Linked DNA regions of Cricetulus griseus. The protein of the gene in region 2 purifies or fractionates together with the protein of the main gene of each other region. This does not show direct contact. Links are inferred from orthologs where the notes say so. Each region holds a gene or a part of one and is shown on either strand. Other genes may lie near its edges.

The links. Proteins that work in one complex are often made in the same cells at the same time.
Region 1: the proteins of Dhx15 (region 2) and Snrpa1 fractionate together in Homo sapiens (co-fractionation; 3 studies listed by BioGRID and IntAct, with this or other methods). This does not show direct contact. The link is inferred for Cricetulus griseus from reciprocal best matches to the Homo sapiens genes DHX15 and SNRPA1.

The regions. Positions count from the first base shown.
Region 1 is NC_048596.1:131,202,949-131,208,510, forward strand, and holds the end of Snrpa1 (U2 small nuclear ribonucleoprotein A'), read right to left. Parts: intron 4,852-5,562; coding exon 4,772-4,851; intron 4,403-4,771; coding exon 4,327-4,402; intron 3,726-4,326; coding exon 3,632-3,725; intron 1,554-3,631; coding exon 1,495-1,553; 3' UTR 1,281-1,494; downstream 1-1,280. UniProt on the Homo sapiens protein: Involved in pre-mRNA splicing as component of the spliceosome. Associated with sn-RNP U2, where it contributes to the binding of stem loop IV of U2 snRNA.
Region 2 is NW_023276807.1:120,420,831-120,426,949, forward strand, and holds part of Dhx15 (pre-mRNA-splicing factor ATP-dependent RNA helicase DHX15), read right to left. Parts: intron 2,669-6,119; coding exon 2,509-2,668; intron 1,343-2,508; coding exon 1,124-1,342; intron 1-1,123.

The DNA.
Region 1 (5,562 bases), on a different chromosome or scaffold from region 2:
GCACCTGTCTTAGCAGCAACAGGAGCTGGTACATGAACAGAAGGACTATGGGAGCAGTACAGCCAGCCTCACTGAGGATACTGCAAACCAGACTCCAATCCAACATGGGAGGAAACTAAATTTAAGTCTGGGGCTCAGCAGAAGCCACTGTTTGGCCAGTCACCCCAGCAAGACCATTGGGAGCAGTTCCACTGTATCTCAGGTATCTGGTATATGCCTCACAAGATCAGTTATCAGTCATCAATGAAAAGCATCTAGAGACTATTTAATATGCTTGTCATATTCAGAATTACCAAAGGAGCTTGGAAAACTGTAACCAGGGGCTGGGAAGATAGTTCAGTGGGCAAGAATGCTTGCTATGCAAGCTTGAGTACTTGTGTTCAAATCCCCACCACCCAGGTAAAAAGTGGTCTGTCCAAATGCATGCCCACAAGCCTTGTTGGGTGGAGACAAGGACTGTTGGAACTGGCTGGCAGACAGCCTCGTTCCAGGCTCAGAGAGAGACATTGCTCTCAAGGGAACAAGGCAGAATAGGAAATCAAGGCACTAATATTTAACCATAAAAGAAAACTCTTTCCTAGATGAGGAATATAATTAAGATAGCTAGATGCTAAGAGAAGTGTGCCCCACAGAGAAGCCACAACCCCAAGCCTCTGTCCCCACAGGCTGGAAGACTATTTTGCTTATGTTGTAGCATCAATTCCTACTTAGGATTTTTCAAATCATTTAAAATTTGTTAGATACTCCTGTGTGTTTAATTAAAAAGGTCAAAGGATATACCTATTTGTCTAGTCTTAAGCCTCCTTGTCTTTATAAAGAATCTGTAACACTTCATAGTCAGAAGTAATGTTTATTCAGAAACACCATCCTCCCTGTACTGGCTAGTTTTATGAGTCAACTTGACACAAGCTAGAGTCATCAGATAGGATACAGCCATGAGTTCCAGCTGTAAGGCATTTTCTCAGTAAGTGATCAATGGGGGAGGGCCCAGCCCAAGATGGGTGGTGCCATCCCTGGGCTGCTGGTCCTCCTGGGAAGCCAGTAAACAGCACCATGGCCTCTGCATCAGCTCCTGCCTCCAGATTCCTGCCCTGTTTGAATTCCTGTCCTGACTTCCTTCAATGATGGACAGTGATATGGAAGTGTAAGACAAACCCTTTTCTCCCCAACTTGCTTTATGGTCGTGGTGTTTCTTTGCAGCAATAGAAACCCTAACTAAGACACTCGCCAACGTCCATCTTAAATATATCCTTATACTTCACAGCTAACATAACAACAGATAATTTGGCAGCAAGAAAGTGGCCTTTATTTTACCATTTGTAGAAAACTGGCATTTAGATTCCAAGGTACATATTAAAAAAATTACCAGCAGTAGTTCTGAACATTCAGCAATGCTGACAAATTCCATGTTGCTGATACAAGCAAGGCTGTTACTCCATGCTCAAAAAGCAAGACTTGTCCCTAGACAGCCTATTAGACCATCTGCCACAGAGCTCAGGACCCATTTGTGACTGTGTCTTCTTCCAGCTCTTCTTCACCATCATCACTTGGCCCTGAAAAAAACCCACAAAACCAGAAGTCGTGTCAATTTTGTCCACTCATCAGACACATACACATTAATTTTTTAAAAAGGTGAACGAACACACCAACTGTTTTTAACTGTGTTCCACAATCTGTGGTAGCTTTTCTTTTCTTTCTTTCTTTCTTTCTTTCTTTCTTTCTTTCTTTCTTTCTTTTTTTTAAGATTTTTGGTTGCTGGGTGGTAGTAGCACACCTTCAATCCCACAACTCAGGAGGCAGAGTTGAGGCCAGCCTGGTCTACAGAGTGAGTCCCAAGACAGCCAGGGCTACATAGAGAAACCCTGCCTCAAAAAAACAAAACTATTTTTTTTTTTTTTTTGGCCAATGTATTCTTAAAAACAGAAACAAAACAAAAATGCCAGGTGTGGTAGCACACACCTTATACTCATTTCCCCGGAAATGTTCGTAAGTACTAGGAAGATGTCAACATTTTACCAGTGGACCTACATTGTCTTTCTAGTAATGGTGAAGCTTGAAGCCATGGTCTCATGTGTGTTAGGCAGTGTTCTACCAGACTTACATCCCCAGCCTAAATTTTCTAAACCTTAATTTTTGCTTAAAATCTGCAATTTTATCATTGGTAATAAACACTGTCAGCTGCGGGGGATTGCTCAGGCACTTAAATTTAGTTCTAAAGAAAACCATTTCTATTTCTTCATCAAGGACAGTGAGTGGATTTGATATGAATTTTACTGGAGAACACAGCAAGTACCATCACTGGACCTCCTTGCTGGAAAATAAAACCCGCTCTTGGCCTCCCAGTGCATCTTGGGAGTTATTACAGAAATAATTTACCTTGCATGTCCCCAGGGGCCCAAGGACCACATAACAGCACTGATCTTAAAAATACCTTATATCCTCTTCCTGAGGAGCTACTGGCAGTGAACAGCTGCTGAGGTAGGAAGTCACTTTCTTCAGTAGTGTAGTCACTGTAAGTTGCCCTTGCTCCAGTAAACACCCCTGCCCCATGTTAACGAAAGCAACCATGGCTAAACAAATGGGCCACAAAACTAACAAACAAAACAGCTCAAAGACAATGATCCTTGAAAAGCTGTCGTGGTAGTGATTCCCAGGGATACTCATACCAAAATTTGTACTATGTATTTACTTTATTTGAATAATGTACCTCTAATGCTCAAATTGCTGACAAACTTGGCATTCAAACATTACACTAGTTAACACCTACCCAAAACTTGCCCTGTGCTAAGTGTAATTATCACAATCCTCCCCCAAACCTTTTGATGTCAGTACTTATCTTAATATTAAAGATGCAAATACTCACCTAAGACAAAGAAACTTGCCCAAGGACAGTACTGCTTAGACTCAGTGTAGCCAGTTCCATTAACCACTAAATTACCACTAATTTACAGGGATCTCTGCTCCAGGAATTTTATCACTGGAGACTTCATTTGTGTGTGTGTGTGTGTGAAGATGAACATGAGAGCATACTTACACAAACTAGACGGTAAAAGCTATTAAACTACCTATCTGGTAAGACATTATAAACCTAGACAACGTGTCACTGTTCTCAATGTAGACAACTGTAAAACAAAGGTAAGTAGCTGTGCATCTACACATAGACAACATATAGTAAAAACACCAGGCAGAGCAATTTTTAAGCTGTTACTTTATGGGATGACTGTATATGGAATATCAGTTCACCAAGATGCCCATTATATAGGATGTGACTTAGAAGTTCACAATCATCTCTAGAACTTTGTTCTTTCCATGTTGTAGAATGTTTTGCTACAACTTGTAAAGACCTCATAAATATCCCAATGGCCTAACTTTATTGGCCCCCACTCCCTACTTCTTTCCTTCCTATTTTTCCTTTCCTCTTTTTTTTTTTTTTTTGAGAAAAGGGTTGCCTGTAGCCCAAGCTGGTCTCAACCTTATTTTGTAGCCAAGTATGACCTTCAACTCCTGATCCTCCTGCCTCATCCTCCCAAATATAGGGATTCCAGGCCTGTGTGATCATGCCAGACAGGTATTCCTCTGTAGTCATTCCAAGTGTGATGTTTTGGAAGTGCACACAGAATAGTTTTCTGACCTGATCTGCGCTCTCTGCCAGGTATCTGGCCGGACTGCAGCAAGCCCTTCAGCCTCTCAACCTCAGCCAGCGTTGATGCGTTTGCTATAGCATTCTGGAAAGCACAGGAAAAGGGAGATGGATGATTACAACCACCGAAAAGACACTACAGAAATTCCTAGCAACTTTCCCCTAGAAAATCAACCACACAACTGTCTGGGAGAAGAACTTCACTGGCGCAAGAAAAATCAACTTAGAAAACACGCCAACATTTAGGAAGGGATTCGGGCTCTTACAAAGGAGAAGAACCAATCATTCCAAGGGCCCTAAAATTCAAGTTAAGTATCTATTTGGAATTCTGTTACTGGAGACTTTTGGATTTTCTACAGATACTTCAACAGGATTTGTCAGCCAGCAAATCTTGGGAAGCAGAGAAACTAAGACTGAACAACAAAGTAACTAACTGCTCCAAGAAGTAAATGTATCCTGGGTGAAAGAGATAAACATAGATGCCTTCAATTAGTTCATGCAATTAGTTCAAGTCAAAATTTGGTCAAATAGTATCTTTAAGGTAGCCTTTCTGGGCCTAGAAATAGCAGAGTCCTCACAACTATGAGATAATGGGATCTACGATGTTTAGCACTAGGACACACCACTGCCCTGGCCCCACCTCTCTGCTCTCTCCAGTCTGATAACCCAAACATACATATCCTTACCTTGATTGCTTCTACATCCCCTGCAGATGGCCCACCTTTCTTTTTGTCAGTTGGCAAACCAGCACCTGGATTAAAACTTGGGAGGGAGAATATAATTGTTACACTCTGACTAGTGCAGGCTGCTTCTCTTACTTTCAAAAGATTTGAAAGTAATTCAACCAGTGTAGTATCTTATCTTTGTTAACAAACTGATACAAGCACTCTCTCCTTCAGAAACACCACCCAATCCATCTTCCAATAGAGAAAGCAGGATGAACACCACATTAAGATGGTAAACCGAAATATATGCTCTGCTAACCTGGTAGAAATTTCCCAAGATGTACACCATCATTCAAATGTAATACCACACTAACCAGTTTTGGGTTTAATTTTGTAGGAGGCAAACTGCCAGACAGATAGTGTTTCTGAAGGTGAAGTAGAGTTAAGTTGGATATCCGTATCTTACGTTTTGCTTCTCCTGGCAATATCCTTTGCAAGCTGTGCACCCCGTTTGCCCTTGAACATTTTCTCTGCTTCCTGACGCTCCTACAGCGACACCACACACAGAGTTAATCAAAAAAGGAATACCACATGCATTTAGATGCATTCCTTAGAAAACATGGGAGAGAATTCTCCTGAAGTATTCTGGGTTGGTAAAAACAAAAGCCAACTTTAAATTAGGAGACACAGTGGTCCAACCTTCTCGGGGAAAGCTCTCAAAAAGTACCCCTTCCTAATTTCTAAGAGGGACTAGCAAGGAACTACAGAGAATTAGCACTTCCAACAAAGGAACAGCTATTCTAAAAAGCAGAGCTGCTCAAATCTGGGTTATATATGCTCTTGTTGGGAACACATCTAAGTAGACAATGCACTGTGTAGTTCTAACATTAGGGCAACTTTTTTTTTGTTTTTGTTTTTTTGAGACAGGGTTTCTCTGTAGGTTTGGAGACTGTCCTGGTACTAGCTCTTGTAGACCAGGCTGGTCTTGAACTCACAGAGATCCTCCTGATGGGATTAAAGGTGTGCGCCACCAATGCCTGGTCACATTTGGCCAACTTTGAAATGGTCAACATCACCCTACCATAAACTGCTATGAGATGAAAACAAAACAAAAAAACCCACAAGAAAAAAAATAAACAATGGTGACTTAATGCTTTCTTTCCCACACATTAATGGTAAAATGTACTAATTAAGCAACTTGTAAAGACCAGTCATGAAAGGCTAAGGGAAAGGACTACTGTAATGACTCACAGCCAG
Region 2 (6,119 bases):
GTGGGGCTCAGGCGGTTTTTGGCGGAAAGATTTATCATAACAGAAGTGAGAAACTGTGGACACAATTCTTACACTTTCTCAAAGGGGCAAAATGAGCATCAACAGCTGTTTACATGCCATTTGAAAAGCAGTAAGTTTTGCAGAAGCTTTATGGAAAATTTCCACTTTAACTGCATAAAAAAGGATGAGTAGTATCAAAAGAGGGACACTTTACCCAGACAACTGCACTTTCAACACAACTTAGCTCACAAAAGAATTAAGGGTGAATCTCTACAGGGAAAGAATTTACAATCCCCCTTTCCCAAGACATTTGGCAACATCTACATATGTCTTTGCTGGCTACCCCTCACAAAGTATAGCTGCATGGACCTAATAAGGAAAGGCTGAGATGCTGATAAATGTCCTACAATGCACAGGCACTAACACAAATTTTCCAACTCACAACATAAAATAGTATTTAGGATGAAAAGTCATACTTCAAAGGCACAAATCATATAGACAATTACAGGATTTAAAAAAAAAATCATCAAAAATTTACAACTCTCAACTGAATTTGGCATTTGCTAAAATATCTGGCTAATAGTTCTATAGGATCTGGACACAATAAAAATGTTTTGGTGCAGCATAAAACTAGAACAATTTTCCACAACCTGTTTAGTTGTCATTGTATATCTTAGTAGGGATCTTTTGGAACTATAAGCACTCCTCTTAAATGACCTCAAGAGCTTGAAAGGCAATGCAAACTCTTGTATTTCCTCCTCAAACTTCACTTATTTCAAAAAACACTGAACAGAAACAAGAACTTCATAAACAAATTCTCTTCCTCCAGACCAGAAATCTACTGATCATACTTGAGAAAGACATTTCTAGAACAAGACTCAAACCTTTAACTGTAAAAGGCACCCAAATATTTAAAGTACAATCAACTACCATTTCAATTGTATATTTTTCTTCAATAAGCAACCCTTTAAATATAAGTATACAGAAAAGGGTGGTTAAACATGGTATACACTCAATTACGTTGTACGGTGGGAAAAATATGGCCAGCCTTTGACATGTAAGTTTAGAGTTGCTGGCTAATAGAAATTTCTGAACAAAAACTATATAAAGCAAATGATGATACCTCTTGACCAGTCAAAAAAAGGAGAAGGTCTCCTTCTTCCTCTTCACACATATGTATCTGGATAACAGTTCGAATGGCTGCTTCAAGATAATCTCTCTCTGGTTCTGGAGTATAAAAAATCTCAACAGGATGTGTTCGGCCAGGAATAGTTAAGAGAGGGCAATTATCAAAGTAAATCTGGAATTTCCCAGCATCTAGGGTAGCACTCATAACTATAACCTGTAAGAGAAAAACAGCAAATTACTTTTGAAGTTTTATCTTTAAAGATTTTTACATAATCTCAAAGGGAAAAAAGTCATTACTTTAAAGACAGCCAGCCTTTAAGGCTGGGTGTGGTGGTATATGCCATCTTTAATCCCAGCACTAAGGAGACATGAGCAGGCTTATCTGTGGAGTTGAGGCCAACCTGGTCTACATAGTAAATTCCAGACAGCCAATAATATAGAAGATTCTGTCTCACCTACCTACCCACCACCTCCCCAAAAGACAGTCCTTAAAGATAAAGAAAACATTCAGCACACACCTTACATCCTAACACTCAAGACACTGAAGAAGGTAGATAGATCACTGTGTGGGTTCAGAGACAGCCAGGGTTTATAGTGAAACCCTGCTTTTAAAAAAAATAAGCAGGACTCGGGAAGCAGAGGCAGGCGGATCTCTGTGAGTTCAAGAACAGTCTGGTCTATATACAGAGCCAATTCCAGGACAAGACCGGGAAACAAAAAGACAGCTGTACCTCAAAAACAACAACTAGGAGGGTGTTGGTGGCATACACCTTTAATCCCAGCATTTGGGAGGCAGAGGCAGGTGGATGGATCTCTTGTGAGTTTGAAACCAACATGATCTACACTGGCTCCAAAGCAATAAACTGTCTCAAACAAACAAAAAAAACCAAACAAACAAAAAAAAAGATGATAAAATACAGAAAGGAATAAACTGTTACCTATTTATATTTTAAAATATATGACTATCTGGCAAGTAATCGATATCTTCTCATAAATCCTATCTACGTAAGGGGGTAAGACACACCCAAAACCCAGTAAGACCAGATAAAATTTTGCTTATTTGTCCTACATTATTTTTAATGAGCACAGCCTATTTTGAAAATCTAAAGTACATAGAAGTCTTCAGGCTGGCTGGCCACCAAGGCCCACAATCTTCCCATATCCACTTCCCTGGCCTGGGGATTACATGAAGATGCCACAACACTCAACATAAAAACTGTTTCTTAGGGCCTGATGGCCCTGTAGTTACTCCCACCCTATTATATTAGGGAATCCAATACCTTTGGCCTTGCACTCATGTACACATTCCTACAGGCATGCAGGCACACAAAAACAACCCCCCCCAAAAAAAAAAAGAAAAAAAGAAAATCACTTCTTCACCTTTAAATCTGATCTCTGTCTTACAACTTCCTTCAAAACACCCATGAGAATATCTGTAGCCAATGTTCTTTCATGAGCCTCATCAAGAATTATTACACCATAACGCTCCAGAAGGGGATCGTTCATAGCTTCACGCAGCAGCATACCGTCAGTCATATACCTATAATGATAAAGACAGCATTGATGAAGTTTCAGCTATGTTATTTTAAAACTAACCATCCTAACCTAAGTTAACAACTGCAAAAATTAAGCTTCAAGAACAGTTTTATGAGTACATGAAAGTTAACTATCATAAAATCTTACACAATACTATAATATACTGAGAAACAGAACACAACTGCTGATTGTGACATACAATGAATGACCCATACAAATGCTAAAACCTAATTAGTGAACCCCTCTCTTTATTTCATCTAAGAGGAATTCTAAATGTATTAAAAATATTTGGCAGCAAAGAAGTACACGTTCACTACATACATGTGAGTCAAATTTCATACAAGGACTTCCTATATAGCACTGGCTTGCCTGGGCCTCTTGAGTGCTGGCAAGAGTCAACACCTGGTCCCTATTTATATAGTTTGTGTTTCTTTAATGTTCTTTTAAAAATAAACCACCACCAGTTCTGGAATCAACTACCAAGAATTTACTTTTAAGTACATGAAAGAAAAATCACTGTCAAACAGTGGATGTCATAACAATCTAGCACAGCACCTAATAAGCCACACTGGTTCCTAGATGTCCAGAAATTTTTCATCTCTTTGAGGGCATTTGTCAATTGTTGTTTTCAGTTGAGTTACTGACATGAGCCAGGCCATTCAGTGACCAAGTAATTGTGATTAAGTACCTTAGATGCAACAAAATTCTAGTTTTAACTTTTAGGGGAACTTGAAAGCACTAGTTCTTGTCTCAACAATATTTGTTCAAATAAATACCTACTTATAATACCTCAGTGCTGCTTCTACGCCTTTGTAAACTATCAGTTGCTAGTCTTTCAATAGGAAACCCTATATTTCTGAAATCACTTTAATTATTAGATTAATTCAGTCTGTTATTTCCAAAAATTTAGTGTATTTGAAGTTACAATATACAAAACTAGATCAGTATCAAATATTCGGGAAATGACAACTTCTAAACTACCAATTTCAAGACTTCAACTAATACTAAAATGTACCTCAATTTATAAGGAAGTTACAAAACAGGCATATTATTAAATCTCTAACTTGTACAGTATTCCAATCATAATTATTTAATAAATTAAAACCAAGTAAAATAAACAAAAAGCCAGTGCCAAGAATACTGACCTGGCTTAAGTAATTTTCAATTAATATATACAAATAGCATAGGAGAGTGACCAATAAACTGTATTTAAGTTACCCCAAACTAATGAGTGCTAATGGAAAAACGTCTGTATGTTTCTTTAAAGGTGTTTCTAGAAACTTTAAAGTGAGAGGGAAAGATTCACTCTAGATGTTGGTGTCATTATGCCACAGGCTCATGTCCTGTAATCGAAACACCACCTGAACTTTACTTGTACTTCTTCACCACAGATAGAACTGTCTCACACTTCTGACTACCAAACACTCTTCATGATGATCCCCATCCCTTCTTAAAAGGTAAGGCAAAATAAGCTTTCTCGTTTATGTTGTCTGGTATGTGGACAAGGCAAAGAAAAGGAATACACCCAAATTAATATGCCTACTTAAACAAGCTTCTAGAAAGCAATTTATTTAAATTTATAAAGAATCAACATTTCTGAAAGACATGATCTTTTGAATATGGTAACCTTGGAATATTGGTTTTAGAATACTAAGCAGACACCAAAAGCTATGGATTTTGAAGTCTTATATAAATTAGCCTAGATTTACATATAACCTCTGAATACTTTCCTATATTTTATTTTCTAGATATACAACACATAATAGAATGCAAATGTTACATAAAGTTGTATTCTTTAAGGAATGGCAAGCAAGTGTCCAAGTTTAATACAGATAACAATTTTTTTTCTGGATTATTTTCAATTTTCACAAATGCAAAAGCGTGTCAATTTCTTTTATATTCCTTACCATACCACCTTTAGCTATAGAATTTCTGGGTGATAACAGTAACACAGAGAACAAAGAAAAAATGGCTTCATTAACGGAAAACAGTTCCATAATAGAGATTGTCCCAAACAGACAGTTCAACTTTACCCTAAGATTATCTATATTAAAAACATAGACTTCTGCTGTGCTAACTCAAACACTTATACCATCAAATAAAAACTTCAAACAAGTTTAGCCAATATGAATAAACAGTTTTACAAAAAGATAAGACTGTTGTCTAATATTAAGATCTCTTTACAAACAGCCTATTATAATCCCTGGCTGTTATAGGCATTCCAACAAGCTGAGTTTAGATAGATAAATCTCAGTGTCTGCATATATACTCACAGTCAATAAATTAAACAACTACTTCTGTTATCAACAGGTCACCCAAAATGATTTTAAAATTTATGAAAATCTCCTAAATAACTTGTTATAGAAGCAAGTTTTCATCCTAACAATGTAAAAATTAACATCACTACTAATTCAAGATAGCTCAGGATATCAACAAATATTTCTTGATAATTTTCACAAGATCAATCTGGCATGGTTGAAAAACACAACAGTATATCACGTTAATGGCTACAGCAGTAGTTCTCAACCTTCCTTATGCTGCAATCCTTTAATGTAGCCATAAAATTATTTTTGTGACTATTTCATAACTGTAACTTTGCTAATGTTATGAATTGTAATATAAATATCTGATATGGAGAATATATGATGAGAGACCCCCTAAAGGGGTCATAACCCACAGGTTGAGAATCAGTGGGCTACAATGTATATGTATATGATCATCTAAAAGAAATTTATTTAAAATACCTTAATGTTCTAATAAAGCAAACAAAGCAAAATCCAGGAAGTATCAAACCTCCTCTGTGATACATATATATTCATTCTTAGCCCAGATACCTCAACAGACTGAATACACAGCTTTGCTATGGAACGTAGATTTAGTATATTCAGTCTGTTTCAGAATTAAGACACCTACAAGAAAAACCCTAAATTTAACAACTGAAAACAAAACAATAGTCATTTTTAAATACTTTCCCAATCCCTACAATTCTAAATTGGTTTAACCCAGAAAAGCATGAGAGATAGCTACAATGGTTGTGATTTCTATGCAATATTTCCTAAAACATCGGTAACGTGTGAACAAAGCAAGCCTTTCTACAATCAATCTTTTGCAAATACATAAATTAATATTAGAAATATAATTAGAAAATCAAATTAGTTTACACAGATAAAATCAATAGTATTCTATTTTCTGGGTCAAAAATCATTTCCCTTGTAAACCAAGGACCTGAGTTCAGTGTAATGATTAGAAAAACCAACTTCAAACCTCCACAAGTTGTGAAGCACAAGTTTTCTATACATACTACACACAGACACACAGACACACACACCCTACCTTTAAAAAATAAAGAATCTGCTGGGCAGTGGTGGCGCATGCCTTTAATCCCAGCATTTGGGAGGCAGAGGCAAGTATTTCAAGGTCAGCCTGGTCTACAAAGCTAGTCCGAAGAAAATCAG